Linked DNA regions of Mytilus edulis. The main gene of each other region encodes a partner of the protein of the gene in region 3 in a complex. Links are inferred from orthologs where the notes say so. Each region holds a gene or a part of one and is shown on either strand. Other genes may lie near its edges.

What was found.
Region 1: vesicle transport protein SEC20-like (region 3) and syntaxin-5-like share a complex: the UniProt entries of both Homo sapiens proteins name them as parts of the SNARE complex. The link is inferred for Mytilus edulis from reciprocal best matches to the Homo sapiens genes BNIP1 and STX5.
Region 2: vesicle transport protein SEC20-like (region 3) and BET1-like protein share a complex: the UniProt entries of both Homo sapiens proteins name them as parts of the SNARE complex. The link is inferred for Mytilus edulis from reciprocal best matches to the Homo sapiens genes BNIP1 and BET1L.
Region 4: vesicle transport protein SEC20-like (region 3) and vesicle transport through interaction with t-SNAREs homolog 1B-like share a complex: the UniProt entries of both Homo sapiens proteins name them as parts of the SNARE complex. The link is inferred for Mytilus edulis from reciprocal best matches to the Homo sapiens genes BNIP1 and VTI1B.

Annotation. Positions count from the first base shown.
Region 1 is NC_092346.1:73,717,337-73,725,423, forward strand, and holds the start of syntaxin-5-like, read left to right. Parts: upstream 1-4,433; 5' UTR 4,434-4,536; intron 4,537-8,087. Other genes in the region: methionine synthase-like, read right to left, coding at 237-329, 575-644, 1,193-1,282, 1,980-2,176, 4,253-4,292. UniProt on the Homo sapiens protein: Mediates endoplasmic reticulum to Golgi transport.
Region 2 is NC_092350.1:69,797,326-69,805,415, reverse strand, and holds the start of BET1-like protein, read right to left. Parts: upstream 3,832-8,090; 5' UTR 3,785-3,831; coding exon 3,757-3,784; intron 1,759-3,756; coding exon 1,673-1,758; intron 1,130-1,672; coding exon 1,073-1,129; intron 1-1,072. Other genes in the region: dual specificity protein phosphatase 3-like, read right to left, coding at 7,624-7,826. UniProt on the Homo sapiens protein: Vesicle SNARE required for targeting and fusion of retrograde transport vesicles with the Golgi complex. Required for the integrity of the Golgi complex.
Region 3 is NC_092347.1:13,288,864-13,296,851, reverse strand, and holds the start of vesicle transport protein SEC20-like, read right to left. Parts: upstream 3,396-7,988; 5' UTR 3,314-3,395; coding exon 3,233-3,313; intron 1-3,232. Other genes in the region: ectonucleoside triphosphate diphosphohydrolase 7-like, read left to right, coding at 3,842-3,849. UniProt on the Homo sapiens protein: As part of a SNARE complex may be involved in endoplasmic reticulum membranes fusion and be required for the maintenance of endoplasmic reticulum organization. Also plays a role in apoptosis.
Region 4 is NC_092346.1:5,320,971-5,329,145, reverse strand, and holds the start of vesicle transport through interaction with t-SNAREs homolog 1B-like, read left to right. Parts: upstream 1-4,648; 5' UTR 4,649-4,684; coding exon 4,685-4,784; intron 4,785-6,484; coding exon 6,485-6,543; intron 6,544-7,416; coding exon 7,417-7,527; intron 7,528-8,175. UniProt on the Homo sapiens protein: V-SNARE that mediates vesicle transport pathways through interactions with t-SNAREs on the target membrane. These interactions are proposed to mediate aspects of the specificity of vesicle trafficking and to promote fusion of the lipid bilayers.

The DNA.
Region 1 (8,087 bases), on a different chromosome or scaffold from region 3:
TCTGCCAATGCTTGATTGGTCTAAACTACACACAATCAGGAGGTAAAAAATCAAAGTTTTTATGAAAATGTTAGAGTTATCATTCTTTGACTACTGAAAGGGGTAAATTTTAACAACACAAAATTTCAACACAACTTGGTGAAAAATGCAAGTCAGTGTCAGGTTTTTTGCTTACCAAGCAGAGTTGGAGAATTAAAAAATAACTAAACATGGCCTATTTATACCTAAACACTTACTTATATTTCTAAAATCTGGTTTTTCTACTGATGGTGAAATTGACAAGGTTCTATTGGTTGGTCCCATGGCTCCTGCAACATACCTCTGTACACCTGAAATAAAAAAAGTGGAAATTTTTTTTCTTAAATGCTCTGGCAATTTTTAGATATAAAGAAAGCCAATGTATACATAAATATACATGTATGTTAAACATTTTCAACAATATAAATTAAATTTAATTACAAATTTAGATAAACAAAACCTGAATTTAAATTATAAGGAGAGGAAAGTCTGAGTATAACCTAGACTGAATCCCCCTAGTTTATCTGGAATTTAATGATAAATATTCTACTGTTACCTGTGGCTGCTGTGACATCATTAGCAGCTCTCTTTGCTAGTTTTGCTGACTCATGATTTAGTCTGTATACCTAAAACATATCAAAAGTAAATGCTGAGTGGTTAAATTTTTGCAACTGTATTAATCTTATTTTTGGAACCAACATTAAACAAGACCAGATAAAATGCCAAATACACTAACCTTCTTCTAAAATCTAATTCAAATTCAGGATCTAACAATGTGATTTTTAATGAAATAGGAAATGCAATTTCTTTTTTGTTACACTGATTTCTTTCCATATAAATTTTACCATTTCAAATAACATAGGCTTTTTTCTTCATAACTCATTTAATAACTGCAAATGTAACAGAAATATGTAAACAAAGACAATAAACTTTTCAAAATATTTTAACCAGGGCTTACTTGTGCCATGGAACATACACCAAAATCATTAGAATACATCTCACAAGCAGTAAGTTAAGAGAAACGTTTATACAAGCAGAAATGCTGTTGTGCTAAACAATATTTTAATTCTGTGCAGTTTTTGTGTCCTTTAAGAATGTTCAATAAGATCTCATTATCAGTGTGTATGTATGTGAATTAGCTTATAAATCGGGAAAATAGTAAGTTATTTCATACCATATGTTCTAAACCATAATCTGCTTGTGCAATGGTGGTACCACTGAATGTGTTTGTCTCAACGAAATCAGCTCCTGCTTCAAAATAATCCTGAAATGTAAAGTATCAAATGTAATTTAATTCTATATTCATTCTTGCGATTCTGAAGACTAAATTTAATAAAAGTATCTGAATAAACAACTGTATCATTAGTCCTTGAGTAACATGATATGCCCATCTGCATCTTATTCTATATGTTACCATAAAACATCCATAAATCAGAAAATAAAATGAAACATGCATAGCATCATCTTATATCTGTATAAGATTAAAAAAAAAGCCAGGTAGCCTTTGTTGTAAGTTTTCCATAGAAATAAATGTGCCAAAATCGGATTGTTGTGATGTACATTCTTTAGTAAGGTACAGGAGCAAAATCATCACTATTTTTGTTTCTTCTTTAAAACAGTATATAACCAATCTGTATCAAGTCAATGCTTTCATCAAGTTTCCAAAGAAAATAATTGTTTAAGTTATTGAATGTCGTTTATAATTACAAAATGTTGTTTCACTAGGTTAAATAAAAAATTGCAGATGACAAAAGCAAGTGTTGAAAACACCCTAGTGAATTGATGTCGAGAAATGTGAGGTGATCATGATGAACTAAGGAAAGCAACTTCTTAACCATAGTCACCTAGCAGCCTGAGCCCTGTACATGTACCTACATGTACTAAAACTGTATCTGATCTAATCAAGCTATTAGCATGATTAGCATCAACTTAAATAACATTCAGTAATTTACAAATTATACCTTATGAATTTTATAAATAATGTCTGGTTTGGTCAAACTAAGCAAATCATTGTTTCCTTTCAAACTTTTGGGATGATCAACAAATGCAGTACCCCTGAAATCCTCTTCCTCAAACCGTTGCTGCTGAATCATGGTTCCCATTCCGCCATCAAATATCATTATTCTTTCTAACAATGTCTTCTCTATAGAGTTTTTCACTAAAAACATAAATAAGAGGGTCATACAGTGGGAACCTTCATGATGAATAATGGATAAAAATCTTACCAATGACTTTAACGGTAATTAAAGGTGCAGGAAGATAAAATGTGCATTCTCTTTGTCAATAAAAAATCACGATAATTTCTTTCCAAAGTAAAGGTATCGGATAGTTATTTGGGACCTCTCATGACTTATGATGAGGCTTTTTTGATAATTCACAATAAAATGGTAACAAATTTGATGCTAATGGTAGCCCAAAATGATTTTGACGCCTGACAGTAAAGGTCATTGCCTTCCCTCATATAATTACAGTATACGCCTGACAGTAAAGGGCATTGCCTTCCCTCATATAATTACAGTATAATCAGTAAATCAATCTGTCAACATTTGTGTCTATAAGGCCAACTAAAATCAATTAGTAGATTTTCATCCAAATTTATGAAAAAAATGGGGTGGGTGGGAGAATTTTATTTTTTAAATTTTATTTCATATGAAACCCTCTTGTGATGTGTTCTTCATATACATGATATATATGCAAGTGTAATAAAACTTATATCATGTATGTACATGCATAAGGTTCCATATATAATTTTTCAATAAATATCTCTGATTGGCAACCACTGTTCTACATGTAATTGCCGCTTTAAAAACCTATTTTACATGTTTTATAGTAAATAGCAAAAACGTACAGAAATGCTCTCTTCAATTGCAATCCCCACACAAAATTTTTTTTGTTGCTTTCTAAGCATTGGTACATGTGTAGTCCCAATGAAATGAAGCAAATGCATTTGTATGCAACACAAGTATTATATGTATAGAATAAAATGAAAAATAAGTATAGAATAAAATGAAATATAAGTATAGAATAAAATGAAATATAAGTATAGAATAAAATGAAAAATAAGTATAGAATAAAATGAAATATAAGTATAGAATAAAATGAAAACTCAAACAGTGTTGAAATAATAGGGTTGGTCCTTATGCAAGATGCAAATATAGTTACAATATAAAACATGAAGTTGTTTAATAACTCTATCGAGGGTATTTGGACAGAGGATATTTGCTGTTTGTCAACAAAAGACGACAGCCATGGGTAATTCTAAATCTAAGGGCTTGCTATAAATGAGTATAAATTACTAAAATGCGTATGTTTGTCAACTTTTTTATCTCAATATACGATCATCAATTTAACAAGTTCATGCTTGTGTCAATTTCTTTATTCCAGTCTAGGTTTTTGTACCAATGTGTTTCACGCTTTGGGTATCATTCACAGGCCAAATATCCTGACACAAAGTCATTGTATAAATAAACTAAAAATCAAAGGTGTTCTAATCACAAACATTTGTGACATACCGCGATTTGTGTTTTTGGACAAAGCATATTAATCGTAACCCAAATAGTTCATGCACATCTCTATAACAATCTCTATTTTCGGTAGATGATGTTGTCATCATAGAGTAGAAGAATATGTTGACTTAATCATTAGTAAGATAACTCTAAGAAACGAGAAAAGGAAAACCGCAATTTGAAACAGGAAGTTTTGAATGAAATGAAATTATAGATGGTTACCGGTAACAAAAATTAATAAATCCGGAAATCCTAATATTTGCAAATTATAAAAAACCGGGGCAGGAAGATTTCAGAGGGGCGGGCGGGGATGAAAATCTATCAATTAATTTTAATTGTTAAAATGTTAAAATTATCAACATACAGTTACTCATTAAACATATTATAACAGTGAATCCCATGCCAATCATGTTTTTTTTTAAGTGAAAAATCCTCATGATTTAAGGTTTGAAACCCTTTGGCTCTTCCAAAAGTTACTTTTCTCAACTACTTTCTAGAATTATGATATAATGGGGAAGGAAATATTGATTTAGACATGCAATTTTGTACTTACATAAGAGGAAAAATCAGTCATAACTATTTTCTCAACATGCAGATTCATAATGTATGAAATATTGGCCACTCGCACTCCAAAATGCAGACGAATTTTGTAAGGGAGATAACTCAACACACATCAGCTGTTCTGATGTTTCATAATTTTTTTCTAAATATTCTAAGCAAGTACAAACCATTTAAATAAATTTCCTGGCTGTTTGCGGCTGGAGGCATTTTTGTAGTGTGTCTGACTGTCTTGTTGTCTTTAGATTGGTTGGGAAATTGTGTTTTCTGGGACAGTCGTCTTTTCACGTCCGAACAGTCCGCGGTTAGACAACCAAATGCCGGATAGACTTACCCACAATGCATTCTAACAGTTGCGCTTGCGTCAGGAAAGCGGAAATTACGTCTATTTTGAGTCGTGGTGGAAAGAAACATAAGAAACAGGAGTCACTTTCTGTTTATTTCAAGTATTATTGTAACTAGAACCACTTTTACTATATGATATTTAAATAGTTTAATCCCAACAAGTCTATTCCCACTTGATTATTTTTTTCAAATTAGTTCTGGTCACTGTTTTGATACTATTTGACAGCTGTCATTCACCTCAACTCATGAACTGTCATTTCATGATTTCACTGATTTCAGGATTTATGTAAAGTTGGTTAGGTATTTCATTTTATATTTAATATTTATTTTGAAATAAGACCAAATAGCAGTGCTTCACAAGATAGCAATACAGTGTTGAACATCTACATGCATCATAATTTTGACACATCATTTTCTTCCAGACTCTCAGTCATACATGTGACAGAGTTGTCAAGCCACAACTGGAGATTTGGAAATTTTCAGCTGGAGTTTGGGCCTCATAACTGGAGATTTTTTATCGACCTTTTTATAGACATACGCAAGATTTTTTCTTGCATGTTTAAACTGCATATGGGTCGTTTTAAAAAAATGTCGAATTTTCAGTACACCCATGCTAACTTTTTTATTTCTAATGGAAATTTCAGTTGTAATGGTTTAAATGAAAGCTTGTCGGATTTGTGATTCAGAACATTAATAATAAACACACCTTACATCTATTTTGATAAGATTAAACTGCAATTAAGACCCATTTTGGGGGTATTTGTCTGCGTACAGTGTCAGAAAAACACATTTCAAATGATTTTTTTGCGATTTTCTGATCGCCTTGATATCTGCAAAAGGGACTTTTTAAGAACGTTTAATATTACTCTAACGAAAAATCGTAGCTTCTATATCATTGTATGTAACATATTATCTACAAACTAAATTGAATCTGCGTACAGGAGGTTCATGTCTTTCCTGTTACCGCTACTTAAATCAGCCGTGAAATTATTCTCCCTATGAATATTGAATCAGTCAGTGTTGATCTCAAAAGTGCAAAGTAATCTTTACATTTAAAACGCCTCGTTTCTTGAACGAAAGTGTAGAGAAAAGAAATTTCAAGACATTTAGTGAAAAAAATATAGCGTACTTTTTTTCATGTCTATGCTGTTACCACCAATTTTGATTAAATACACCAACAGTATACTTGTAAAAAGTGCAATAACGTGTTGGAAACCAAATTCACAATAGAAAAACATAATCACTTCACCAAAGGGAGTAGTTATTTCACAACAGCAATCAAAAACGAAGAAATTTGTCTATCCTGTTATGTCTATCCTGTTACTATGGTTGCTATGGTTACAGTAACAGGATAGACAATTGTAGACAAAAACGTCGTTAATTTTTTTATCTTAACATATAGGTGCAAAACGAATGAAATATTTCGTTGTTTGAAGTCATCTTAAGGTTATAACGTATTAATCTTCCCAATTAAGCATTCGCAGGTGCAATACTGATATCGGTAACAGGATAGACTTTTATATAGTAATATATCAGAAACGTACGTTCCTGTTACCAATGAAATATAGAGAAAAGTAAACTAACTTATGAGGGATTTACTTGATGTTGGGTTTATTTGAAAGGGTGAAAAAATGCCGAACAATATAAATTGCTATCTTAGACTTGCATTACTGGTGGTAATTTTTACAACCTTTGAAAACCAATTTTTAGAGGCATTTTTCAGTACAACCTGTTAAATTGGCAAATAATCTATTATATTACAGAATGAATATATATAGACGTTTATTCTCTTGAAAACCATCTAATTGTCTACGTAAAACAAGCTTAACATTTTATCTAAACCTTTTCTTAATAACCCAAAATTTCTTTTGAAAATGGTAACAGGATAGACAAAATAATGTACCACCGATCAAAAAATGTTTCAACATATTTTTGTATGACATCATTAAGATTGCATCTTTTAATATGTTGTTCTTAAAGTACTGTTTGTTTTGATTTGCTTATGTAGAGGGTTGTTTGAATAAGTAACTTTTAATAATTTTTTCAATTTCAAAATTCGGCATTTTTTGAAAATGACCCATATCTTCCTTTTTTGTTAAAACACAACAATGATTCCATACCTACAAGCACCTACATAGCCATTTTAACTTAGTAAAATAGAAGATAAGGGGGATTCAAATATTTACTCATCATAATTTTATATAGTTCAAGATAAAGTGATCAGCCATCATACATAGTTGGCAAAAAGTATATCTGCTTTAGCCACATTGTCAACTTTTGTACCACTACTGAACATGTTTGTAACAGAAGGTGTTGAATTGATAAAGTTGTGGGCTATCTGGTTGGTGGCTGTCTCCATATTTTTGGTCAAGTAATTAGGGCCACCATAGTCAGCTTTGCATGAAGTGTAGTAAGCATGATCTTAATTTGGCTAGATATATACTGTGTCTTCTTTTATTTGATGCTGGGGCAAAAGTATTTGGTGATAACATACAGTTTGCATTTGTCAAATTATAAGACAAACACACTTATTTAGGTATTGGACCAGATAGAAGACATATCATATTTGAGTTGATTTTATTGTCTTTGAGGTTCAGTATAAACTAAATCTGTTCCATGTTTTCAACAGCATCAAAATTTATTAAAGTCGATGTTGATACAACTGTTCCATTGTCAGTATCACTTTTAATCATCCAGACATGTTTATTTAAATATTTAGTTGATTACTAGGTAAATGCCAATCATCTTTTATTGTTGTATATACAGTCTAATCCTTAACACCTTCACTGATTACTCGAGGCTATTTTCCTATTTACCTTTTTGACACAAATTCCATTACAGGAAACTTCCGATTTTCTCGGACTTTTCCCATATCAATTTAGAGTTTCTCGGACTTATTCCCTGTCTGTATTAATTTTGTAAACAGAAATGTCTACTGAAATTTTTTCGAGATTGACATTTTCAAAAAGCGGAAGATTTCAAATTTTAACGGGAGGGACGGAAGAGGGTCTGAAAAGCGGGAGATTTTAACTCCCGCCGGAAGAATCACATGTATGCTCAGTATCATGAACCTGTGAGGCTGTGTGTCAGTGGACTCGCCTTCAAAAATCCTATGTGTAAACCCAGAGTGCAGACACTAGTTCTCAATGCCAAGTTTTTGTGTTCTCATTGTGGTGGAGTGGGAATTAAGTTAAAAAATTACTCTTGACCCTCTACATCAAAAAATTGATTTCTAATCTCCATGTTTAATTTGCCTAACCAAATGTTATGGAACTTTAAACATAATGCTTGTAAATAACCATAAAACTCAGATCAAGTTCTAATTTGGGTGGTGTCACTATTACAGTCATGACAGTTCTCTAGTTATGTCCCCTTGTTATGTTGTATGCATGCAGGGTATCATCTGTGTCCTATGGACGGAGCCTATGGATAAATTCTGCATTTAAGGGGAAAAATAGGAGTTGCTTTTCTGGTGGGGGTGTCAACAATTATTCATTTTTCTGTTTATGTCAGTTTGATAAAACTACTTGTGATAGATCAATGATATATTCTGTAAAGTTGCCTTACTATATATATCAGTACATTGCGTATATCTATATACAAATGTACATTATATGTCAAATCAGTTCAACTACAATTTCAAGGCCCTTCCCTCTAGGT
Region 2 (8,090 bases), on a different chromosome or scaffold from region 3:
AAATTTTACACCTGCGTAAATAACCCACTATATGGTATCGTGTATATAGCAAAAGATATGGCATGAGCAAAATAAATCTTTCACAAAAAGGGCAGAAGATACTAAAGAGATATTCAGGCCAAATAAAAATATATGTGTGGTTCCAGTAACCATACCTTCCCTACTTTTTCTGCTTAAAAATAGCCTACCCTAAAGATTTTATTGTCATTTTTCATTAAGCACTGTTAAAGTCAGAATGTTGCTCCCATAGATTCAATGTAAAAAAAAAACATAAAATAAAAAAAAAATCCCTACCTACCATGCCTACCTACCCTAACTTTTTTTTAGATGCAACTTGAACCACACATACTTTTTTATTTGGCCTCACATTGATAGGACAACAGAAGGTTGATAAGCACATGGTTAGGCTTAACCAATATTAAACTTGGTAAAAATAAAATATGCAACAAATATTTATGCAATAAATTGTTGACACAGATATATGTCTTGCCTTTTAAAATGTAATTTTGATACATATATGTAGTAAAATGCAATTGTTGATATCAAAATGGCTGCAATACTTTTAACATGTAGTCTATGCAAGACATCTAAAGTCAATAAATCATGACTGAAGGTGCAGGGCTAAATAATCTGTTAGGAAATGAGCAAGGCTAATATAACTGCATACCAATATGCTAGTAGTGGTTCAATGATGAAAAATTCTAAAACAAAATACTAGTAAGAAAATAAAAGATATAACAACATGGTTTTAGATTATGGAAATTTATCATCTTTCTACTAGAGAAAACAATGCCAGTCTATTGCTTGCTATGTGGTATTGTGGGTTTTGCTCATTGTTGAAGGCCGTACACTTCCATGTCATTTTGTCTCTGTAGGAGAGTTGTCTCATTGGCAATCATATCCCATCTTCTTATTTTTATTTTAACAGCAAAAGACAAAATGACGTTTTTAATCAACATGATAAAAATTGTGAGAAAACAAGAAGATTAGTTGGAGATCCAGATTTGGGGTTCCAGCAGTTGTAGCATTTTTTTAAAATGGCTGGATCCGCCCCAGAAGATTTAGAACCTACCATGTCATCCAAGTATCTGTTAGAGTCTTTTGATTCTGTTTCTATATCAAACGCAAGCTGAAAATAGTAAAATTATGAAAGAGAACTACCGGTATATAAAAATTGAATCAGTAACAGATTAGAGGGCCTACAACTCCTCTGTTTGAAAAACATATTTTTTTATCATGTTATGCATATAATCTTCCAGTTTTGCTTTACTTGCTTGCTATATATATTATCAGTTTCATTCAATAATTAAGTGCTTGTATGCACTGATGGGTACAAATTGCTTAAATTTATCAGTGGGAAGCGAAATTAAATATTACATTTTATAAAGAATTGAATTTAGTTGATTCAACTACAATTATTTGGAGTGAGGAAGGTTAAACTTCAATTGTAAAGCTATCTTCAACAATGACAAAAATATGATATTTTAGAACAGATATTAGATTCATGCACCTTGCACAAGTTACAGTAAATTCAGAAATTTGAATTTGAAGTTTGAATTATTGCAATTATAACATGTACATGTATAACACTGTCCAATTTTTCGCAATAATGAAAACATTGCAATAATTTCTGAATTTACAGTATTCTGTATTAAGTCAGGTTAGCACATACTGATTTCAGTCTTGATACTTTGTCTGATAATCCATCAACTCGTCTTTGGTTTTCAGAATCAAGCATTTCTTCTGATCTAGACAATCCTGAAATGTAAAAGTATATGGTCAATTTAAAAAAAATTACATGTCATTGCCTAGGGCCACAATTATTTTGGTTTGCCCAAACCCTACCCAAACATGTAGGTAGGCATTTTCTTTTTTTTTTGGAAAAGAGAATTTATCAGATGTTTATAATTCTTCATGGCTATCAGAATGAAAAAATATTTTCACATCAGGACAATAAAAGATTATGAGAAGGCAGCTATTTTCTGGGTACATGTAGGTAGGGTTAGGGCAAACACACCTATTCTTTTTTATGGCCTAGTTAAAATGGTTTCTAAATCTACATGAATGTATGTATTCCATTCTACCCCATTATTAATCAAGGGTATACCTACATTTGTACATGTAGAAATACTTTTTGAAATATATTTATTTCTTGGCAGGCACTCTAGCAATGTCTAGACTTATATATTTATTAGGAGAGTTAACTCATTTTTTTGTATACTACCATTTTATATGAGTAACTGTAGTAAAATACAAAGGAAATTTATAAAAATTGATTGCCTGAAATACATATTAAATTTACTTTCCAAGCATTTGTTAAGCTATATTAATAATACTATTTACATGATTTAAGAAAGATATCAAAATTTCCTTAAATCTAGTTATCAAAGAGAAATTAAAAATTTAGAAATAAAACCATAATAAACATACATGTACATCATTTTATACATAGTGCAAGTATATACATTTCTAAAAGCTTGTACAAATTTTAGAATCATCTGAATGAAGAAACCATATGCAAAAAGTAAAATCACAAAAATACAAAACTTAGCTATAGAGGAAAATCAATTTGAAAAGTCCATAATCATGATAATCACATTGCAAAATCAAATGACAAAACGCATCAAAACCGAATGTACAAGAACTGTCATATTTCTGACTTGGTACAGGCATTTTTAAATGTAGAAAATGTAGAAAATGGTGGATTAAACCTGGTTTTATAGCGCTAACCCTCTCACTTTGATGAGTACATGATCATTTTTTGTAAATTCAGAAAGGTATTATCTGTAATGACCTGGTACATGCTATAGAGTTACATGTGTATCTATTTAACTAATAAAAGAATTCAAATATCGGAAAAATATTCAACTCTTGACGGAACAACATTGATAATTAACTCATGCGCTACACTCATTTGTGAATTACAGTTGTTCAGTCACCTGTTGAATATTTTTCTCCACTTGAATTCTTCGATTAGTTATTCTGTAATTATATTTTTCTTCAATGGGTCCCAAATGTAATGGTCATAATAGTATGATATGAATACACCTTATAGATCTTATACATGTAGTTACATGTATTTGTTTTGTCCGCCATTACATGTCATCACACAGGTTCCTGTAAAATTTTGACGCCATAATACAAAATATCCGACTCCACAATGGAAAAGTGATTGTTGTGTGACGTCAATAGTTTAAGTAGTACAGATTCTAAGGGCCAGCCAGGAATAGTGATATGGTGTATTGGGGGAACATTAGCACGCACACGAAACCAAACATGAGTAAACGGGAAATAAAACATCAAAACACAAATAAAAAGGCGGAAAACGTTGTACGAAATAACTCTTAACCGCCCTCTTAGAGTAAGGGTTATAGACAATTATGACATATCAGGCTTTAACACTTTCATGCAAACATGATCTGGATACATACATCTGAGACTACTATAACACTGTGTGATACAAATGCTATAGTAGTCTCAGCATACATGTACATGATATAGGAAGATGTGGTATGAATGACAATAAGACAACTCTCAATCCAAGTCACAATGTTTTGATTGAAGAAACGAAATAAAAAAAATGACGCAGATAACTATGGGTACACTATTGTGCGCGAAACGAGCGTTGAGAGCTTTAAAGCTGCTCTCACGAGACGTCAGTAAATCGACGGCGCCTTCACCCCGTTGTATTAAAGCCAGAATTGGTAGCTACGACGTAACCATACAGATACAGACAGAGACGCAGATAACTATTACCATTCCGGTTGTTCCTGTTATCTGTCATTTTTTTTTCGGAGTGTTGATGTGTCAAAATCTCCAGCAAAACATTTGTACAATGTCAAAAATTATTCTAAACAAAGAGTGATAGATTGCGATTAATAAAACGTTTCAATGACATAACTTTTTCATTTTTAATACTTTATCCGTTCTCGGATAAAAGGTTGAAAAATTTCCGGAAAAGAATAACATTGATTAGACACCAAATATTACAGTGTGTTTTTATATGCCTTTTACATGTTTTATACACCTTTATTCTAAAGATGGACCACATTTCCCCCTATAAAAACAAGATCGCAAATAAAATATAAATTATTGTGTAGGTATAGTGAAGACTGTCATATAACCGATTGGCATTCACGGTATAAAGTTTTACTCAGTAAACTGACTATTTACCAAGAGGGTACTTAATTGCTGACGAGTTTTGCACTTTTCGTTTATTTAAGATCTTTTTCATTAGATTTATAATCAAAAAGAAATATGAAACATAATCTCCTTAAATAACAAGAAAAAGAGCCCTCAATCGGACACTCAGCTGACGGGTCCTTAAAAGTTTTATTTATAATATGAGGAAGCTGAGACTACTGTGTTAAAACAGTCTCAGATTCTCAGGAGGAATTAAGGCGTTATCTTAACTTTACCAGCTAATGAAGCCAATATAATTAACTATGTCCTTACATACAGTTTACGGTAGTTTTGATCTAAAATAGAATAATAAATTGGAATATTTAAGTTAAGGGTCCATAATGTTTTGTACTGAACACAATTTTATTGGCGATTTATCTGAATGACAATGCTTACATTCATTATCTTGTGAAATTTTCATATCCATTTTTCTTTCTTTGCAAATGTTAGAATGGTTGGCGATTGATCTGGTATCTCAAAAAAAGATACCTCTGATATCAATAATTTAAATAGAATCATATTCAAAACAGTGTGGCTGTGACTATTGATTGACGACCTAAATTATCCCATTGACTGGGACAGATTATGTGAACGTTTGTCTGTAACGACCACTGCTCACTGTGTACTTGTTAAAGACACTTAAACTGTGGGGTCACCAAAGGTTCTCAATGCCTGAATAAAGTAATTCGAAAAGCTAATCAGGAATAACACGATGTTTTGATTTATATCAATAATATAAATCAAAACATAAAGGTTATTTCTGGTTAATTTTTCGAATTATTTTAATATTAAAAACTTTAAGAACCTTTGGTGATCCCACAGTTTAAATTCTATAATAAGCAAGTAGTGAGCAGTGGTCGTTACAGACAAACGTTCACCTAATCTGTCCTAGTCAATGGGATAATTTAGGTCGTCAATCAATGTCCACAGCCACACTGTTTTGAATATGATTCTAAGATCTGTTCGGATTTTTTTCTTTCTGAGATCTGCGATTTTTCAATGAATGGAGACATAATTACACTCTGGCTAAGACCATCGAAGCATGCACGTTTAAATCCTGCCTTTCGAGTTATCTTAGCGCTGTTCTGTGTTTTGCATATTCAGTGTTCATGGTGTTCGTCATCTGTGAAACAGATACTCCATAACGGTCATCCAACTCATTATGATCTTCGTAATTTTTTTGTAGGCATGACTTTAACTTCACCATTTGGAACTATTGGTTAACACATTGTCGAATTGAGTCTTGAATTACGTTTTTTTTCAAAAATTTTCTCATTTTTTTTGTCTGATATTTTAATAATTGTAATATGATGGCTTGTACGTTATCTTAATAATTGTATTATGATATGATGGATAAAGAAAATTATGCTTTCACTGTTTTGAGCTAATCATCTGTTCAGCAAGGCTAAAAAAAAGAAGAGTAGTGATCGATATCAAGTCGAAAATAAACTAAGATTTCTAAATTGAATTGTTCCAAATTAATTTTATTTTCTGTCGGGATCTTTATAGCAATACATTAAGGTAAGGGTTTTTCTCATTGATGAAGCCCGTACATTTGCACATAGTTGCTCATTTTACTTTATTTAAACTTTTTATGATAGTTGTCTCATTGGCAATCACACCACATCAGTCTCATTACAGCAGCACACAAAACGCAGAATCGATGAATCTAAAGAATGAGCACCACTAACACCCACTAAAACCGGGGTGATCGCAGGTTCTCCGGAAGAATAAACTGATCTTTCTCTACATGTAGTTCCAGTCATGTTGCTCTAAGTTCAATATCTACGCATGATAAGTCTAATTGGGTATTTACATTGATGGAAAATGAGACCGGGGTTGTGTTTACGATGATCGGAACATATTCGTTGTCGGTCTGTGAAACTGATATGCCATATTGGTCATCCAACTCGTGATGGTGTCTGTTATTTTTTCGTGGGCATGACTTTATAACTTCACCACTTGGAACTTTTGGTTATCACTTAGTCGAAATCTTAATCAACTCCTGATAGGAATTATGTCCTTGAATGACGGTTTGTTTTTATATAATTTTTTTTCCGTTTTTTGCCTGTAATCTTTACTATTATGTTATGATAGATAAATAAAATTATGCTTTAACTGTATTACGCTAATATTCCGTTCAACCAGGCTATAAACAATGCTAAAAAGGTCAAAATGTTTTATGAAAGTCCATAAAATGGCAACTACAAATAATAGAGAAAATCTATCTCTCCCAGGCCATGCGCAAACACCAAATTTAGTTTGAATATCATAAATTGCATTTGGACATGCTAGGCTTAACACTCGTCATGAAATATCATTGAATCTTGTTTTATACATTGTATTCCCTTTTCTAAACTCATCAGACTTTACAATTTATTTGTAGTGTATGTTTTTAATTGCAATTTATATCGAACCCGTATCAGAACTTTCGTATTTGTTATTTACGTGTTGGTGTGAATCTGAAAATAGCATTGAATTTTAGATTTTCGCCTATTCATTGAATCGAGGAAGTTGTCGCCGTCCTATTTCTCTTATTCATGAGGAAAACACCTTGCCTATTTCTCCGAGTAAAAAAAAAATCGTCAACTATTTTTCACTGGACGTCACGTACATAAATCATTAATCAATAAATAGACAATATAAAATATGCGTATTTTTAACCTAGAAAACAGTCAATATTTATAAATTCAATCCATCAACCATTAAACGTAACAACAAATCGACCAATACAGCGGTTCCAACCACTCGATATAAAGAACTTGTCACTTGATACATTGCAAACATTTTATAACCAACAAACCAACCAACCAATCAATCAACTAAAATTGTCTATCATATATTACACTCAGGAAATATGGAATGAATTTCTTTAACAATTGTTTATAAAACATACATTTGATACACAAATGATTGTATACATGTTCGTTGGTAGTAATTTTACAAAAGCTGCTCCTGTACCTATAGACATCTAATAAATCAATAATAAGACCATCGACCATAATTCTTAAGTATATATATATATATATATATATATATATATATATGGCTTATTATACTATGAAACACATGCGTTTGAGTCATATTTTTATTTATTTACATACTTAAAGCAACAAGTATGTTTTGGTCAAACTCCAATTAAAATAGTGTCACATAAAATTGAGGTAGCTTATACAAATAGTAGCACAACTAATTCATACATAAGAATAAAATCTTATGTTCTACATTCTCAAACTAGAGACATGTAATACATACATGTATATTATATGTACCTGCCCAAACGACTTGTTTGAACAAGAACTCCAAACGTTTAGGTATGCAATGGCAATGTATTGAACTGTTCTTTTTACCATACTGCATGCCTGCATGCGCACTAAAGTAAAATGTAAATGCAGCCATATGTTTTGTATGTTTTCTTCCAATATACATTGTATATGTTATCTATTTGTGCGTAACTTTGTCAAATATTTCTTTATTCAGAATACACAATTGCATAATGAGACCGTTGCTAGGACACACTTTACGACATCTTCTGATACACTTTACGGCATTCCAGATAGGCAACTGTTCCTTTAGCATGAGATAGGCAATTGCCATTGCGGGCGATTTTCGGACTCCGCCTGAACAGTGAACCAAGACTTTACCTGCAATAATAAAATGGTATTGTATTTTTCCCCTTAGATACAGTATATGAAACAAAAAATATCGTATAAAGTGTAAGTTTGTTTAGTTATAAAATATAAAGGGTCGCTATTTGATATCAGGGGGCAATGGGGTCCAGGAAGAATTTTTTGATGACGAAACCTTTGTTTTCCATTTCTAACACCCGCTTTTATCTTCCACAGGTAAATATGATTATAACATCGTACTAATTTTGTTCACAACTTTTGCAAACTTGCTGAATTTGG
Region 3 (7,988 bases):
ACGACCCATCACTCTAGTATAGTTTAACTTTTGAAGTCTTCCAACATGACAATAAACTTTCTACATTTACAACCAATAGTTCCAAATTTGTGCTAAAAATTTATATACAGGTGCAGGTTAAAAACATTTTCTACTAGTATCTATTGTTTGTGTTGCTTAGCCACTACAGAGGAGCTTGGTGAGTTTGGTCTTGAATTCCTCACTGCTCTCAATTTCTGATAGTTCATCTGGTAGTTTATTCCAGTTTCTGATGGTCCTAGGGAAAAAGCTGTATTTGTAGATATCTTTGTTTGGCCTGATTTGTACATATCTTTTAGTGTTCGGTTGATGGAGTCTCGAAGTTCTTCTTGGTTTTATAATGTGCATTGGAATAGGTATAGCAACTCTTTCAAAGATGGCTTTATGAAAGAGCTATTTTTCTTCTAGTCAGTCAGAGCTCAGACATAAACAAGTCGATTTTTGTTTTTGACAATAAAGAAGTCAAAACATGTATTTATCATAAAAATGTGTTTTCAATTTTAGACTTATCTACATGTAAGTCATAAAATGACAGACTTGTTTAGGTCTATTTATGTTGATGAAAAAACTTAATTTCACTTGGTGGCCAAACTACACAACATATGACAGCAAAAACCTGTCTGAGAGTTCACAAGGACTTGAGCTATCTATATGTAATTGTCTAATTGAACATCCTTACTAAACACAGATGTTTTTCCTCATTAAGTGTAGTTCCAGGTGGTTGCATTGTAAGGTTAATTAACATTATCTCCGATTTTTTAGACTCTCATTCATATTTTTCTTTAGAAGACAAAGCATTGTCTTTCACTGTTGTCATTATTTGATTTAGATGCATGACCTCCTTATAAATATGCGTGGGTCTTGAAGTTAACCAATTTTGATCACTTATCGACTTATAGGAGTCAATATTTGCGACTTTTTTATTCTGGTCAATTATTTGTTGCTTAACAATATTTGACTTATTAAATACTATGTTTCAAAAAAGGCTGATTCCTTATTTTATAAAGATTGGTCTATTATCACCAGTTTACAAAAACAAAGGAGACAAATCTTACTCCAAGAACTACCGTGGTATAGTTGTTTTACCAATACTATTAAAAATAATTGAGTACATACTACGTGATGATCTAAGAAAACATTCTCTCAATCTACAGTCAGTACTACAGAGAGGCTTCACTGCAAATGCTTCACCACTGTATGCAGCAATTATAGTAGAAGAAGTATATAGAGAAAAATATGGACAAGAAATCACCATTTCTTATAGCTTTACTGGATGCGAAATCTGCCTTAGATGTTGTGGTCTTAAAAATTCTACTACGGAAAGTACACTTCACCGATGTCAATCCAGCTACTTGGATATTAATTGATGAAATACATAAAAACACAGAAGCATGCGTCAAATGGGCAAATGATTATTCAGAAAAGTTTCCAGTCCAACAGGGAGTTAAACAGGGAGGTCTTCTCAGTGCAGATCTGTATAAAATATATATTGAAGATTTACTTCATAATTTTGAAAATGTTGCACAGGGATGCACAATTGGAGAAACCTCTGTTAATGCAATAGCCTGTGCGGACGATGTTGCCTTGATGAGCGAAAATCCAGCAGAACTACAACTTCTCATAAATATAGCTGCTGAATATAGTCAAAACCATCACTATCTACTACAGCCTCAAAAAAGTGTTGTCTTACAAATAGAACCATCTAACCGCAAGAAACAGTCTAAATCAGTCAATTTAACTTTGAACGAAAATCCTATGCCAATCGTTGACAAATCACCTCATCTAGGAATTCTTAGATCAACATCTTCAAAAAACTCTCAAAATGAAACCACTGACCAGAACATTACTAAATCTAGGAGAGCCGCCTACAGTCTCATGTCAGCAGGACTGCATGGTGAGAATGGACTTGATCCGATTACCTCACTACATCTAATCAAAACCTTTATACAACCTATTCTTACATACGGCTTAGAAGTTATATTACCTACTTCATCAAATCTACTAAAATTAGAAAAGTTCCAAAAACAGTTGCTTAAGAGAATTATGTCTTTACCGATATGTACACCAGATCCGAGTATTTACATCCTATCCGGATTCTTACCTATAGAAGCACAAATCGACCAAAAAGCGCTAATATTATTTAATAACATATGTAGGCAAGACAACTCAAATTTAGAAAAGAAATTGGCTATTAGACAATTAACCGTCAAAGATCAATCGAGCAACAGCTGGTTTATTTCAATTAAGAAAATGATATTTAAATATGGACTACCATCTCCGTTACAACTTCTAAACTGTGCGCCAAAAAAGTTTCAATGGAAGAGAACTGTCCAAATTGCCGTTTATAAATACTGGAAAGAAGCAATAATTTCATCCGGAAAAAGCTATATGTCTCTTCGACATCTTAATATAGACGCATACAATCCTGGGGAATTTCACCATCTTTTGGACATAAATACAACTAACGATCCGACCAGAGAAACAACAAGACTGGCAATTAAATTAAAATTAGTAACTGGCACTTATATATTACAGAATAAAAGATTTAGATATACAGAAAACGAAACTCCGATCTGTAAATTATGTGATCAAGGCGATGAAACTCTCTGTCACTTCCTGTTGGACTGTCAAATTCTAGAACCTATCCGACAAAAATATTTTCACCAGATCGATGAAATATTACATTTAATATCGAAAGACAACCTTAGAACACTTTCCAGTCATGATAAAATCCAAATAATTCTGGACTGTACGTTGTACTATACTGGACTTAAAGGAAATAGTGAAAATATTGTTAAATTAGATGCAATATGCAGGCAAATGTGTATGCGTTACATATAGCAAGATACCGATCTTTAGATATTAAAAGGAAATGAGGATATTTCATTGTTATGAACTTATAACATGTTCCGAACATCGGTACTCCCGTATTTATACTGTTGTTGTGCCGAGAGCATACCTGTCAAATAGTGAACTGTATATACTCGTATAATGTGGAAATTATTTTAAACATTGCTAATTCAGTGATGCATGGAGGATAATATGAAACATTGATATCTCCGTACTCAAGTGTATTATATAATTACCGATAATGTGTGTAAAATAGTGTACATAGATGTGGTGGTGGAATATTGACTACTCAAATGAGGTTGTCCCGAAGTGGACGGAGAAAGATTTCCTGGTAAGGTAAGATGTGACCAGAATAAACCTTTACCTGAATACAAGCTTTGATCTCTAAATCTAACTTTACTATTTCTTGGAGACAAATTCTAACTTGGATGTCTTCAGCAGCCATGAAGCAAAACAACAAAATCCAGCTGTGATCAAAACGAAAATAACTTTGACATGTGTCCGGAAGTAAACATTAGAAATGACGATTGTTAGTTGTCGCAAATGGGAAACCCGAAGAACAAAACTTAATCATATGAAACAAACTATTGATATATGTATTAAGAGTAATTTAACACAAATTGGTCAGAACAAATAATAATAAAATTGTTTTTCTAAATTTTTTTTAAAAATAAATAAAAATAAAGCAAAAGACACTTACGTTAATGTTTACTTCCGGCTTGGAAGAGTAACCACGTTGACATGTCAAACTATATTTAAAACTATGTTTTAATGCAACATCTAAAACCAGAAATGCAAATTTTTAGAATAAGCATTATATTTTACTTTCTGATTTTTGGATAAAGACAATAACAGAGGAAGCATAACAGATCGTGCGTAACATTTAACCAGACCGAATCCACCAGACCACCTTCTACCACTTTTGACACTGACAGTTGTTTTCTATATATCCTGTAAAGGAGCTGTAGTTTATATGGGAAGGTGAGTATTTTTTCATTATCTGCAACAATATCACTAACTTGGCAATCACAACACTTGACTTACATTCAATTTTCAACATTGTCTGAAGAAAGGTTGTGTAACAGATATTTTGGGTCTGGAATATAGGTGAAGGGTTGATCAGGCCCCAAGTCGATACGGACCCATAATAAAAATATTAATAATCCATATTAACTTCAGAGGATTTAGTTACATATGTACTAATTAGTGACAAGAAGAATAATATTAGCGACAAGAAAACATTTTTTTTTATTAAAATTACTTATTCCAAATAAATATTAAAAGAATATTTAAATGAAAACAATTTTAAGGACAAGAAAGTTAATATTGGTAGAAATAAAAAATAGACATAGATCTACATTTTTAATTCAGTTGCTACATTTATTTACATGATATTGTGTTAATTGGATGTTATTGTAGCAATAAAACAAAGGACACGCGCCTCGTTAATCTCATTTGAAGTTCTACATCGTGTATTACCTTCGGTGAAGCCACAGCTAACGTTGGTCCTATCAGGACAATGAATTGTACAGTTAGAAAGGAAATAATATTCCATGTAATTGTTTCAATAAATCCTTCAAAGGAAAGGTGAAAAATCTTTGTTTTTATTTTCATTTTATAGCGTGTGCATTTCCTTTGCTCTTATAAATGTTTAATTTCTTCATCTATCAATAATATGAGGCAGGCATTACCTGTTGATGGGGACGAAGTTTGTTTAAATTAATTTGTTTGTAACTTAATATTTGTTAAAAAAAAGAAAGGGAAATACCGTAACCATAACCCTGAATGGACTTTTCATATAATGACTTAAGCAAAAGTAACTAAATTATCATATTGTAATTACATGTAGCTGAATTTCCTTAGATTTTCTCTCATTTTGTCATATAGGCATTCAGCATGGTAACGTTTCCGATTTTGGTTCTGTTGTTAAGGATTTTACTTGTGACATTATTTAAGTTACATGTATGACGTCATGTTCAATGTAAACATGGGAAACACAATGCATCAGGTAACGTTTATGCATACCAAAGACAAAGAATGATTAAAAATGAAATATTGGTATTGAGTTCCTATATTTTACTAGACTAATCAAAGTCTCACGACAACAAGACCAGAAGAAGGAAGTAGAGTTATGCTTTCTGCGCAGATCTGGAAATTAAAAAACGCGACAAAAAAAATTGAACGATTTTGAGTTCATTAGTACAATGAAATTTTTTTTTTATTGAATTTTCTACTGTAATACATGTAGGGTACTTCGTCCCCATATAATTAAAAACTACACAATCCCTTCCTCACAAATGTTCATTTCTTCATCTATCAATATAATAACAAAAAATTATCAATTTATTTCTGCCCGTATATATTAAAAATGACTAAATGAATATTTTTTTATATTTAATAAAAAAAAATGTTTTCTTGTCGCTAAATAGCTTCTTGTCGCTTCTTATCGCTTCTTGACACTTCTTGTCGCTAATTAGTGAGACCCCATATGGATTTATGTAAAAAGTATCAATGCTTGATGACAAGTGAAGTTAGTATGCCTAATCCTTGGAGTAATATTCAGATGGATTACATGTACATGATGTATATTAAGTTGAAACCAGTTAAGTGTAATTGGTACTGTTTTTCAATTGAATTCAATGTAATGATTATAATGACTTGTTTAAATAAAATCATTATTCTATTTATAACTGGTTTGTTTTAATCGTGAACTATAGTAACACCAGTTGTATAATCAATCAATTCAATCAAGATTATGATTGCTAAAACTTGTGACAGATAGACAAAGGGCTGGATCGACATTAAAAGCCAAATAATACATGTATACCAGTCAATTGGTATGCATAATACATTGTGTTAATAGTGCTATTAACACAATGTATAACGCATACCAGTGGACTGGCACATATTTCTGCCCAAACACATTTATGATACCGGCCCCTGAGCATGTACATGAACAATGTAGATCTATGCAGATTAGTTTGTACCACTTAGACTAGAGTTTGCCCTTGTCCAAATCCAGGCCTGGTATTAAACCATATTTCTTAGAATCCAAGTGCTACATTCCTAGTTAGTTCATAACTACATGTACATGTTGTAAAATTGAGAATTGAAATGGGGAATATGTCAAAGAGACAACAACCCTACCAAAGAGCAGATAACAGCCAAAGTCTAACTATGGGTCTTCAGCACAGTGTGAAAATCCTGCATCCTGAGTGGGCATCAGCTGGCCTCTTAAGAAAGATGTGTACTAGTTTAGTGAAAATGGATGTCATACTAAACTTCAAAACATATAAATGAACTAAAATTTGAAAAAAACATACATGTATACAAGAATAACAAAGGCCAGAGACTCATGTCCATGACTTTAGCCAGGCGCAAAAATGCAGTGGGGTTAAACATGTTTTGTGAGATCTCAACCCTCTGCTATACCTCTAGCAAATGTAGAATAAAGAATCGCACAACATTATCATGATTATGCATAGTAAAAGTCAGTTTAAAAGAAGTCTGAGCCAATGTCAGAAAAGGTAACAAAAGAAACACAGCAAAATGACAATGATACATAAATTATCAAAGGACCATTAGATGCTGTCCTCTTATCAAAGGACTACTAGCAGTTACTTTCATGCCTGCTCCAGACCACAATTAAACTGATTGAAAGATTATCAAATAAGTCTTCTTTATATGAAAATCAAGTACAATCTCTCCTGTTCCTCCATATTTCCAATGCAAAGACCTTACGAGTCAATCAAAATTAATACCAATATATGCCATCATTAATGACCTGAAAACAGTATCATAACAATATCCCTCCTGCATGTTCTGAATAAGTCTGTTTAAAGGTTTGGCTAGCCTTTGAGGTGAATGCAGACATTTTTGTGCTTTATAAAGAATATAACCTTAAAAGATTGGATGTGAAATACCTGAATGTATGAGATGTCTGCATGTTTATTTATGTTTAGGAATGATATCCTTGTACAATGTTGTATTGATGGTAAAATCTATTAAATATTTTGACTAGTTTGTGATATCGAAAAATCCTGGTGTAATAATTTTCAAGTAATACAGAGATTTCTTTCGTTATACAACTGTAATCATATACACAGTTACATATACACAAGTGAATTGAACTAGTTGAGATACATGTATATAAAACACCATAAGATGATGCAGTCTGCACTGTTAGCCTCTAGTTCGATGCCCCAAACTATTAAAATTTCATTCGGACTAGTAAGTTTTTGCAAAACTTTGTTTGAACTAATATGAAAAATGTCAGAATATTGATCTTCAGACTAGTAGTTGAAAAAGTTTTTGGTGCAGACTGTGATGTCCTCTTATTGAAAATAAACCTTTACAGGACATAATTTAAAAGTATTTTATTATAAAACTATGTCTGATTGAATGAACACTTTTTCACAACATCAGACACATTTAAATACTTTTATACTTTTCACTTCCACTTTTATGGCTTGCATACATGTACATGTACGTTAATTTCAACTTTTTCTGCACTCAACACTTAGTTCAATTCTTAATTGGTTTATAAACTAACATCATCCAAATAAAAGAAGCATAACAAAGACATGATGTTTTGCAATGTTAACACAATAAACTACAATGAGTGCCAGCAGTTAATATACAAAAAATGTAATGTTTACATGTTTACAAACTAGAATTTCATGTTCCTTATAAGTAACATGTAGAAAAAAGGTTTGATGTTATTGATTTTCTTCTACACAGGTAAATCAAAAACCTTTTCAATGGAAATTTATATAATTATATGATATTAGATGTATCATTAATTTTTTGTTTCACTGAGTTTTTAAAGTTTATTAAGTTTCTTCAAATGTTGTCATCTCGAAATACAAAAAACACTTCCAGGTATATTTGTTTTTGTTATTTTGATACAATGCCTAAATGATAAGGTAAGACTAAAGTTGTTTTTTGTGAAAAGTCAAAGACTTCTTTAAAAATGAACCCCTATTTCATGGAATAAGCATGCACAGAATACACTTGTAAGGGGGTTCAAATGGAAGTCTTGTCCCTTTAACTTTTTTTCACTGTTAATATGTCACACAAATGATCATCAAATTGCAAATATAGCAGTAGTCGTTGAAGAC
Region 4 (8,175 bases), on a different chromosome or scaffold from region 3:
ATATTTGGTGTATGGAAATATTTTATGATCTTTATGTCAGTCGAGCAGGTTTTATTTAACCGTGACCTCATTTTCACGGTTCATTGCACAGTGTTAATTTTTTGTTTTGGTCTATTTTTCTTAAACTATAAGTAATGTGTCAACTATATATGTTGTATAGAAGCATTGTTAGCTGTACCTGTCTGCCTGGCATGGTTCATCTGACCTGGACCTCTTTTTCAAGGTTCATTGGTCTTTGTTTAGTTATCTTGGTTAATGTTAAGTTCATGTGACAGTTGTAATAAAGCTTAGCTTTATACTTAGGACCATCAACATAATATCAATGATTAGTATAGAAGGCGAGACATTTCAGCGTGTGCACTCTTGTAAAAAGAAACCATTATAGGGCAAACTATGGTCTTCAACACAGAGCCTTGTCTCAACCAAACAGAAAGCAGTAAAGGGCCCCTAAAATGACAGCGTAAAACCATTCAAACAGGAAAAGCAACGGTCTAATCTATATAAAAAAAGAGAAACAGGAAACACTTATGAACCACAACAAACGACAGCCACTGAACATGTGGAGTTGATTTCACAAAAAAACTTACGACTAAGATTGATCGTAAGTATACTGATTTGTTCATGACCTAAGACAAATCTTAGTTGTAAGTTTTTAGGTGAAATCGACTCCATGTTTCTGACTTAGAACTGGTGCAAGTTTATCAGGAGATTTCAAGAATTTTATGTTAAATGCAGATGAAAAGAATACAAGAATGCTAATACAACACGCTGGTGATTTGCTGATACTTTCCAGTTTTAATAAGTCTTGTGTATATAGGACAAGATCAAAATATCAATGAATCCATTTGATAGATCTATTTAATTTTGTTGACTTGAATGATGAGAAGTGTGAGTAAGAACTGTTGTGAGGGTGACACAGTAATGTGTGAGGCACCAGTGTAAACATCCCATTTTCAAGATGATATGGCTGCACATTCAAATGTCAAAGTGAATGAGTGGCTTCAGTTCATTAGTGGTTTAAGTACATCAACAACTTTATCACTGGCCTGTCAACATTGAGGTTGTGAGTTGCCACCCTACCTGGTGGCAGGTGCGTTTAATTCCATTCTTGCACTCTGGCTTCCTTCAATAAAACCTGACTACCACAAAATAGCCAAATATGTTGAAAGTGGCATTAAACACTAACAACAACAATTAATTAAAATAAAGGGCTGTCAATAAGGATTTAAATGTCAATGAGAAAGCTTAGTTCTATTATATGATTTTCTTAACCATATTTCACACATTTGGTATCAAAATTCCAAAAATATAAATCTAATAGGAATTTTAAAAGGGGAAGGGAAAGGATAATCTAGTTAAACATCTTAGCTCAAAACTCAAGCCTGCATCAACTAATCCTTAGATTTTTTTTAGGTCTCATCTATGAAAGTAGAGGGACATAATATTATTCTTTCTGGTCTGTCTTGATGTTTTGGTCACACAAATTCAGTACACATGTTTATTGTGATGTTACTTTTTATAGAATATATGCAAAATTATGATATTTACTCACATTTTCAGAATCACTAGATAAAGAGAATAGATAGTATATAAAAGGCATGGTATCCTATGGATGCATATTGTTGTTCCATTATGCTATGATTCCTAAAATGGGCACAATTTGTATTACTGTGTCATTGGTCTAGCTGAGAAGGGTTGCCGTTACTCCTTTCCCTTATGTTAACAATTAAATGCTATAAATACAGAACATCAAAACCTTTTTTATAACTTGTAGAAAATAACAGTATTTACAGATTGTGAGGTTGTCATAAAACTGCACGAGATTCTGTTAGAAAATTTGTCAAACATATGCAAGTCTTCTTACTTCCAAGGGTTTGTGTTGTCAGAAGCATGGCACAACTGCCTCATTAGATGTTTTACACCCAAACAAATCCAGAGAAAGAAGGGAAAAGTGTTTACATTTTCCATTATATAGTTTAAAGATGGTGATTTTAATCATTGACTTCTTTATACCCTGTGGCTAAATTTCTGTCCCTATCCAATACAGTTCATTTTCAGTGAAGTCTCAAATTTCCTTACCCACTCTATTGCAGGAGCTCAATTGCATGACCTAACTATTGCATCTATGTATTTTTTAAACGTTGGAAAATCATGAAATATTTGTCACTGGACGTAAAGCAAACAACAATCAATCAATATTCCTTAGTCTAAGCACAAAGACAGATTGCTAACCTTTTAGCAAAGATTTGTAGGGTGCAAGATTGAAGAAGACAATGTCTGATGGTTTTGGACAAAAAGACAACTTAAGAGGCTCCAAGGGCCTATGGTTGCTCACACAGCTCTATATGCATCCTCAACAATGCACATTGTAGACTGGAAAAGAACACATGACAAAAATCTTCGTTTATGTTGATGTAGTGCTGATAATTTATTTTCTGTTTACAGTTTCTCTCTATCTTCTTTATTGTATTGCCAAATTCACAAAAAGAGTAAGAAAAATCATCATTAAATCATTGTCACTCCTATAAAAAGGCTACGATTTCAGTAAAATTTGACTAGTTTGTAAATCTGGTCTTGTTAATTGATAATTTTATGTAAAGTTTCTATATATATCTTTTTGAAATTTCATTAATTAGGCAAAAATCTTTATGCTGGCTGAGACTACTATAACACAGTTATAGTAGTCTCAGATGCTGGTAATCTTTGCTATTTATTAAACTTGTCTATAGATCTATCCTAATAGTTTTCTCGATGAAAGAAAGATCACTTAAAATGGCCATGGGTTAATTCGTCATTCAGCCCTGTTGATTTGTCTTTCTATAATGAGCTTAATCATTTTTGTCTCGCCTGCGACGAAAGTCTCAGAAGGCTAGACATAGAAGTTGCTTTACCTGCATTGATGGAACTTCCTATCAAACTGTCTCCGAACTCTATGTGATAGATCGATAGTTTGTATGAAGTTTGACGACTATTTTGAGGCGCTGTCCCTAGGTCATGGTCAAGTGACTGGATTAATTAGCAATTTCCAATGTTAAGTTTTCTGCTTATGTTAAAATTGAAAATGACAAATTACAAAGTAATGGACCTAGTCCTAGTTTAGTTTAGTTTAGTTTAGTTTAGTTTAGTTTAGTTTAGTTTAGTTTAGAAAAAAGGCTGAAAAATTAAAGAACTAAAAAAAGGAAGGACCACATCAAGATCCTGCTCATATCTGTACATTTTATTTTAATATGCATTCAACCGTTTTGTATTTTTTTACCAGCTAATACTGCAAGATGATTCTCGGCACTTTGTTCATGAGCGTAGCCTAAATACAAGCGGATTCCTGTTTATTTAAATAACTCATTTATTTCCTTTGACCAGGCTTTGAAGAAGACATTTTCGAAGGAAGAACTAAGGTTTACTTTCGACCTCATTTAGCCCATTTCATCATGTCAGGCATTGTCATTACTCAAAACCATTAAATGTCTTCTGAATCAATTTCGTCTTTAAATTCTAATGATACTGAGAAGATCCTTTACTAATTTTCAGTTTTTGTGGACAAAGGAACATAAATACATTGTGGAACCTTACAAATAGTACAATGTATATGCATGCATGTTCTTAGATACCATCTCCCATATCCAAATCACATCATGCAGAAATCAGTGGCGGATCCAGAACTTTTTATAAGTTAAATTCTCCCTCGCCCTGCTCGTCCGAATTTAAAGTATTTAATTTCTAATTCAATAGGCTATAAACAAGACAAACACAGATATAGGATTAGTTGCTCGCAGTAACATCTTATTTTCTCTTGCGATACAATATTTTATTTTACTGAATTGTACATATTTCTTCAATCGAAACATTATATAAACACATGACATATAACATTGTTCCTCTTTCGCATCGTTTCTTTTCCCCCGGCTAATGCCTCCAACGCCTGTACGTACAATAAACATAGCAGCAACTGCACATATACCTATGTGACCAACTTCAATCCGACGTAACTGCGAGCACCTTCGATACTAATACATTTAAATCCCAAACTTTATATAGTACCTTTAAACCCCACCCATAAAAACCGCCAAAACTTTCCTCGTGCCTCCTGCACCTAACATCAAACATATAAATAGTACATACTGTTACAAAACCAGTATCCGAACTAGTTATACTAGTTCCCATCTGTAAATATTAACTACAAATAGCAAACGGGAAAAACCCTATTTCAAACGAAATAAAATACATGTACCACTGACAGCCATAAAAGTTTCCCACGGTCAGTCATGATTTGTGATTCCCTGTATAATCAACCATATTTTCCACTCGAAAGGGCCGAGTAGCCCCCCCCCCCCCCCCCCCCCCCCTCCCAACCCCTGGCACCTGGATCTGCCTATGAAAATCAAGGATCTTACTATACAAAATTTAATTCTTGTGGAAATGTATCTAATGTGTTCCTCTCCTAGCTATCCAAAACCAATAAACGACGCTGCTAAATGGTTAGTGTCTGGTACAGGTAGGCCGTTATTATGCAACATATTTTAATAAAGAATCTTGTGGCAAGAACAAAGAACTCTTATTGTCAGAAAACACTGTCAAACATCTAAACATACTATCCACACTGATCTGTGTCCACACTTGTTAATTTATTTATATCCATCCCGAATTTTTTCAGTATTTAGAATGATCACATGACTGTCATGTCAAAATGTCTTCTGAAAAGTTTGAGTCACTCGAGGACGATTTGTCAAGTGTTTTGGATAGCATAAGAGACAGAGTCGAAGGGAAAATCCCAAATTTTGAGGGAGGTTGTAAATATATATTACTTATTGTTTTACAATTTCCTAATATCTATCTGAGACTACTAAATGCAGACATCACTGCATTCTGATATGTTGTAAAGTCCGAGACTGAGTCAGAGTTGGGTTCACAAAACTGTCAAAGGTCTACATAGTCCGAGATTACTCTGACGTCCAACGGCTGTTTTGCCAGACAAGTCCCACGGCCCCAGCTTGTCTGGCAAAACAGCCGTTGGACGTCAGAGTAATCTCGGACTACGGTCTACATAATACTTCTTAACTTCAATATGTTGAAGATTACAAAAAGGCACATACTAGGGGGTAGTAGTATTTAAATCTGAACATATTTACATATAAAAAAAAAGAAGTTTTTTTTGTTTTTTTTTTAAATATTTTATTTATATATTATAGATGATTTTGATCTAGCAATGTATTTGTGATTTTGCACCAAATTTAAATGCTTCTAAGTCTTTGCTACTTGGTGTAGCAAGAAATTCCACAACCTAATTGTTCTAGGGAAAAAATAAATATAAAATTATGCAAGACTACACGTATGTATGGGGACAATACACCTTATCGCTACATCTACATGGATAATCCGTAAAGAGTCAGTTGACTCATCACACGAATATGTCAAAATTAAAGTTGTGTCATCCAAAATGTGTTTTCTTTTAAAATCATATGTACAGGTGCTATTCCCCACTGACCTGAGAATCTATCTCGCTTGACCTGTTGAAGTCATACAACAATCACTTCTCCATTGTGGCATCAGATATTTTGTATTATCGCACCACAGGTAAATTAGCACATTGTGATTGGTATAACGCCGTCACCTGGTGACCCCTTAGGCCTATGGATCCGTAGGGGGTTAGTAAATTTCAAAGGGGGTTCGTGACGTCACGTCTACTGTTAATGGTGACTTCATCTATTAATGTTGATGTGTTTCATTGCTTATTTTTCTACAAAACGCAGCAGAAAAAGTCCAGCGTGCGACAAACCATATAACTTATTTCATGACATCAAAATTTTACGGAAACCTGTGTAATGTTCAGTAATGGTGGACAAATAGCGATAAGGTGTATAACAATCTCGTCCCACAATGCACCTTACAATTTACAGTAAATATAATGAAGTTACTGTTAAATCTATTTATAATATCTTACCTGTAGAAAGATTAAAAGAAGCAAACAATCAATTTCATTAAAATAAGGTCTTTTATCCAGGGATGGGGTAATTGAAAATGTAATGGTAATTAAGTGTAATGCATTACAATTTTCCATGTAATTGAAGGTAATGTGTAATTGAGCATTTTTTCAATTACTTGTAATGGTAATTTAATTAATTACAATGAAAAAAGCATGTAATGCTCAATTACTTTTGAATTACATTTCAATTACATGTACTTTTATGGTGTCTATGATAAGGATTTATGTTTAATAATATAAATTGTAAAATTATATTTATTTTTCAAATATTGATATCACATACTTTCTGTAATTTATTCTTAAGTTTTTATATTACTTATTTGACCAACAGAATTTTTTTTAAAGTTTTATCATCATTATAAAATTTCATTTGGCATTTGAATCGGGAAAATATTATGTTTTGGAACAATCGATCTGTACATAATAGCATATATATATATTGTATTGATTAAATATAGTTTTGACAATTATTTTTATTTTTCTCATGTTCTTATTTTTTGACAGAGGAGAAAAAAACAGCCATTCGCCATGCAGAAAGAAATATTGAAGAAGCAAACTTCATTGTAAGTGTAAACTGGTTAAAATATCTTGTCAATAATTTCCTGTTTACAGTGAATACTTCATCTACCATTTTGCTGCCACCATCAATAAACTGAATATATAGAAAGCAAAAGTTCAATGTTCAACTTGTAAATATGTTGATGTTTACAGTCTACAAATATTTTTTTCATCAAAATATTTATGAATGAAAAACACAAATGTTGACCAAAATAAATGAATACATAGTACATGAATTAATTGTGCAAAGTTTATGTAAACAGCAGAAAATATTGCCGTAGTTTGTTGTCAAGAAAAAAAAATATATAAAAAAGAAGATGTGGTATGATTGCCAATGAGACAACTCTCCACAAGAGACCAAAATGACACAGAAATTAAAAACTATAGGTCACCGTACGGCATTTAACAATGAGCCAAATAGTATATGATTTTAAAAGGATAATTAACATAGTTACAGCCGATTCCATTGAGTGTGTAGGCAAAGTCAATATGTTTGGTTAGCTTGCTTGCCAGCTGAACAGTGAAGTCATTATTTGGTCAGGTAAACTACCCTCCTTTAAAATTAGACTAGTCTGAAAGATTAACAATCTATCTGTCTGTAGGACTAGGCTACTTCAAAAGGAGTGTAGTATACCTTACCTAATAATGACTTCACAGTTCAACTAGCAAGCATGCTAACCAAAGATATTACCTTTGCCTACACACTCAATGGAACCGGCTGTTCTAGTTTTTTTTAATAAACTGAAGTATTTTTTCTAAAATTATTACAAAAAATTCTAAAAATCAAATATTCTAAAATTTCAGATGGGTGTGGATTAAATCATCAGAGTAAAAGATAAAACCAAAGTTTAATCCATATTTTTGGTATTACATTTCAGTTACAGGAAATGGAAAGTGAAGCAAAGATGGCTCCTATTTCTTACAGATCTCAACAAATATCCAGAATACGTAACTACAGACATGACTTAGATAATATAACAAAGAATCTGGTAAGTTCCAATTGATGGTAATAACAGTAAATAATACCTGGTGAGGATACAGAATTTGATGTTAGACATAATGGTGGGGGTGTACCTGAGAATGTTAAAGAAACTTAATTTGACACAAGATTGTCACTTAATAAACTATAAATTACATTTTTGAAGATGAATTTTGTGGCCTGGAAAGAGAATCAAACAGGTTTAGAAAAATTAAAATAAATATCATGTGGTTTTATAGCCATGCAAAAAAAATGAAATAATGACAAAGTTGTAAATGAAAATTCTGTCAGAAAAAATCCTCCTGGCCCTCTAGAATACCCTCCCCTAAAGTCAATGTACATGTCGTACAATATTATATCATATGCATAAAATCCCTGAAACTCAAACTGAGCATCTCATAGCATACTTTATCATATTTTGGATAGTCTTTACTTTTTATCAACTAAGGGAGCTACCATTTGATTTTTATGGGGGGGGGGGGCTAGGATGAAATTTGAAAAAAATAGGCAGGACAGGAGTTTTGAGCAAAAAAAAAAGGCAGGATGAGACACTTGCAAAAAAAAAAAAAAAGTCAGGATGACAATTTATGTAAAAAAAGTCAGGATAAACTAAAAAAAAAAAAAAAAGCAGGACCGAATAGAGTGAAAAATAAAAAGG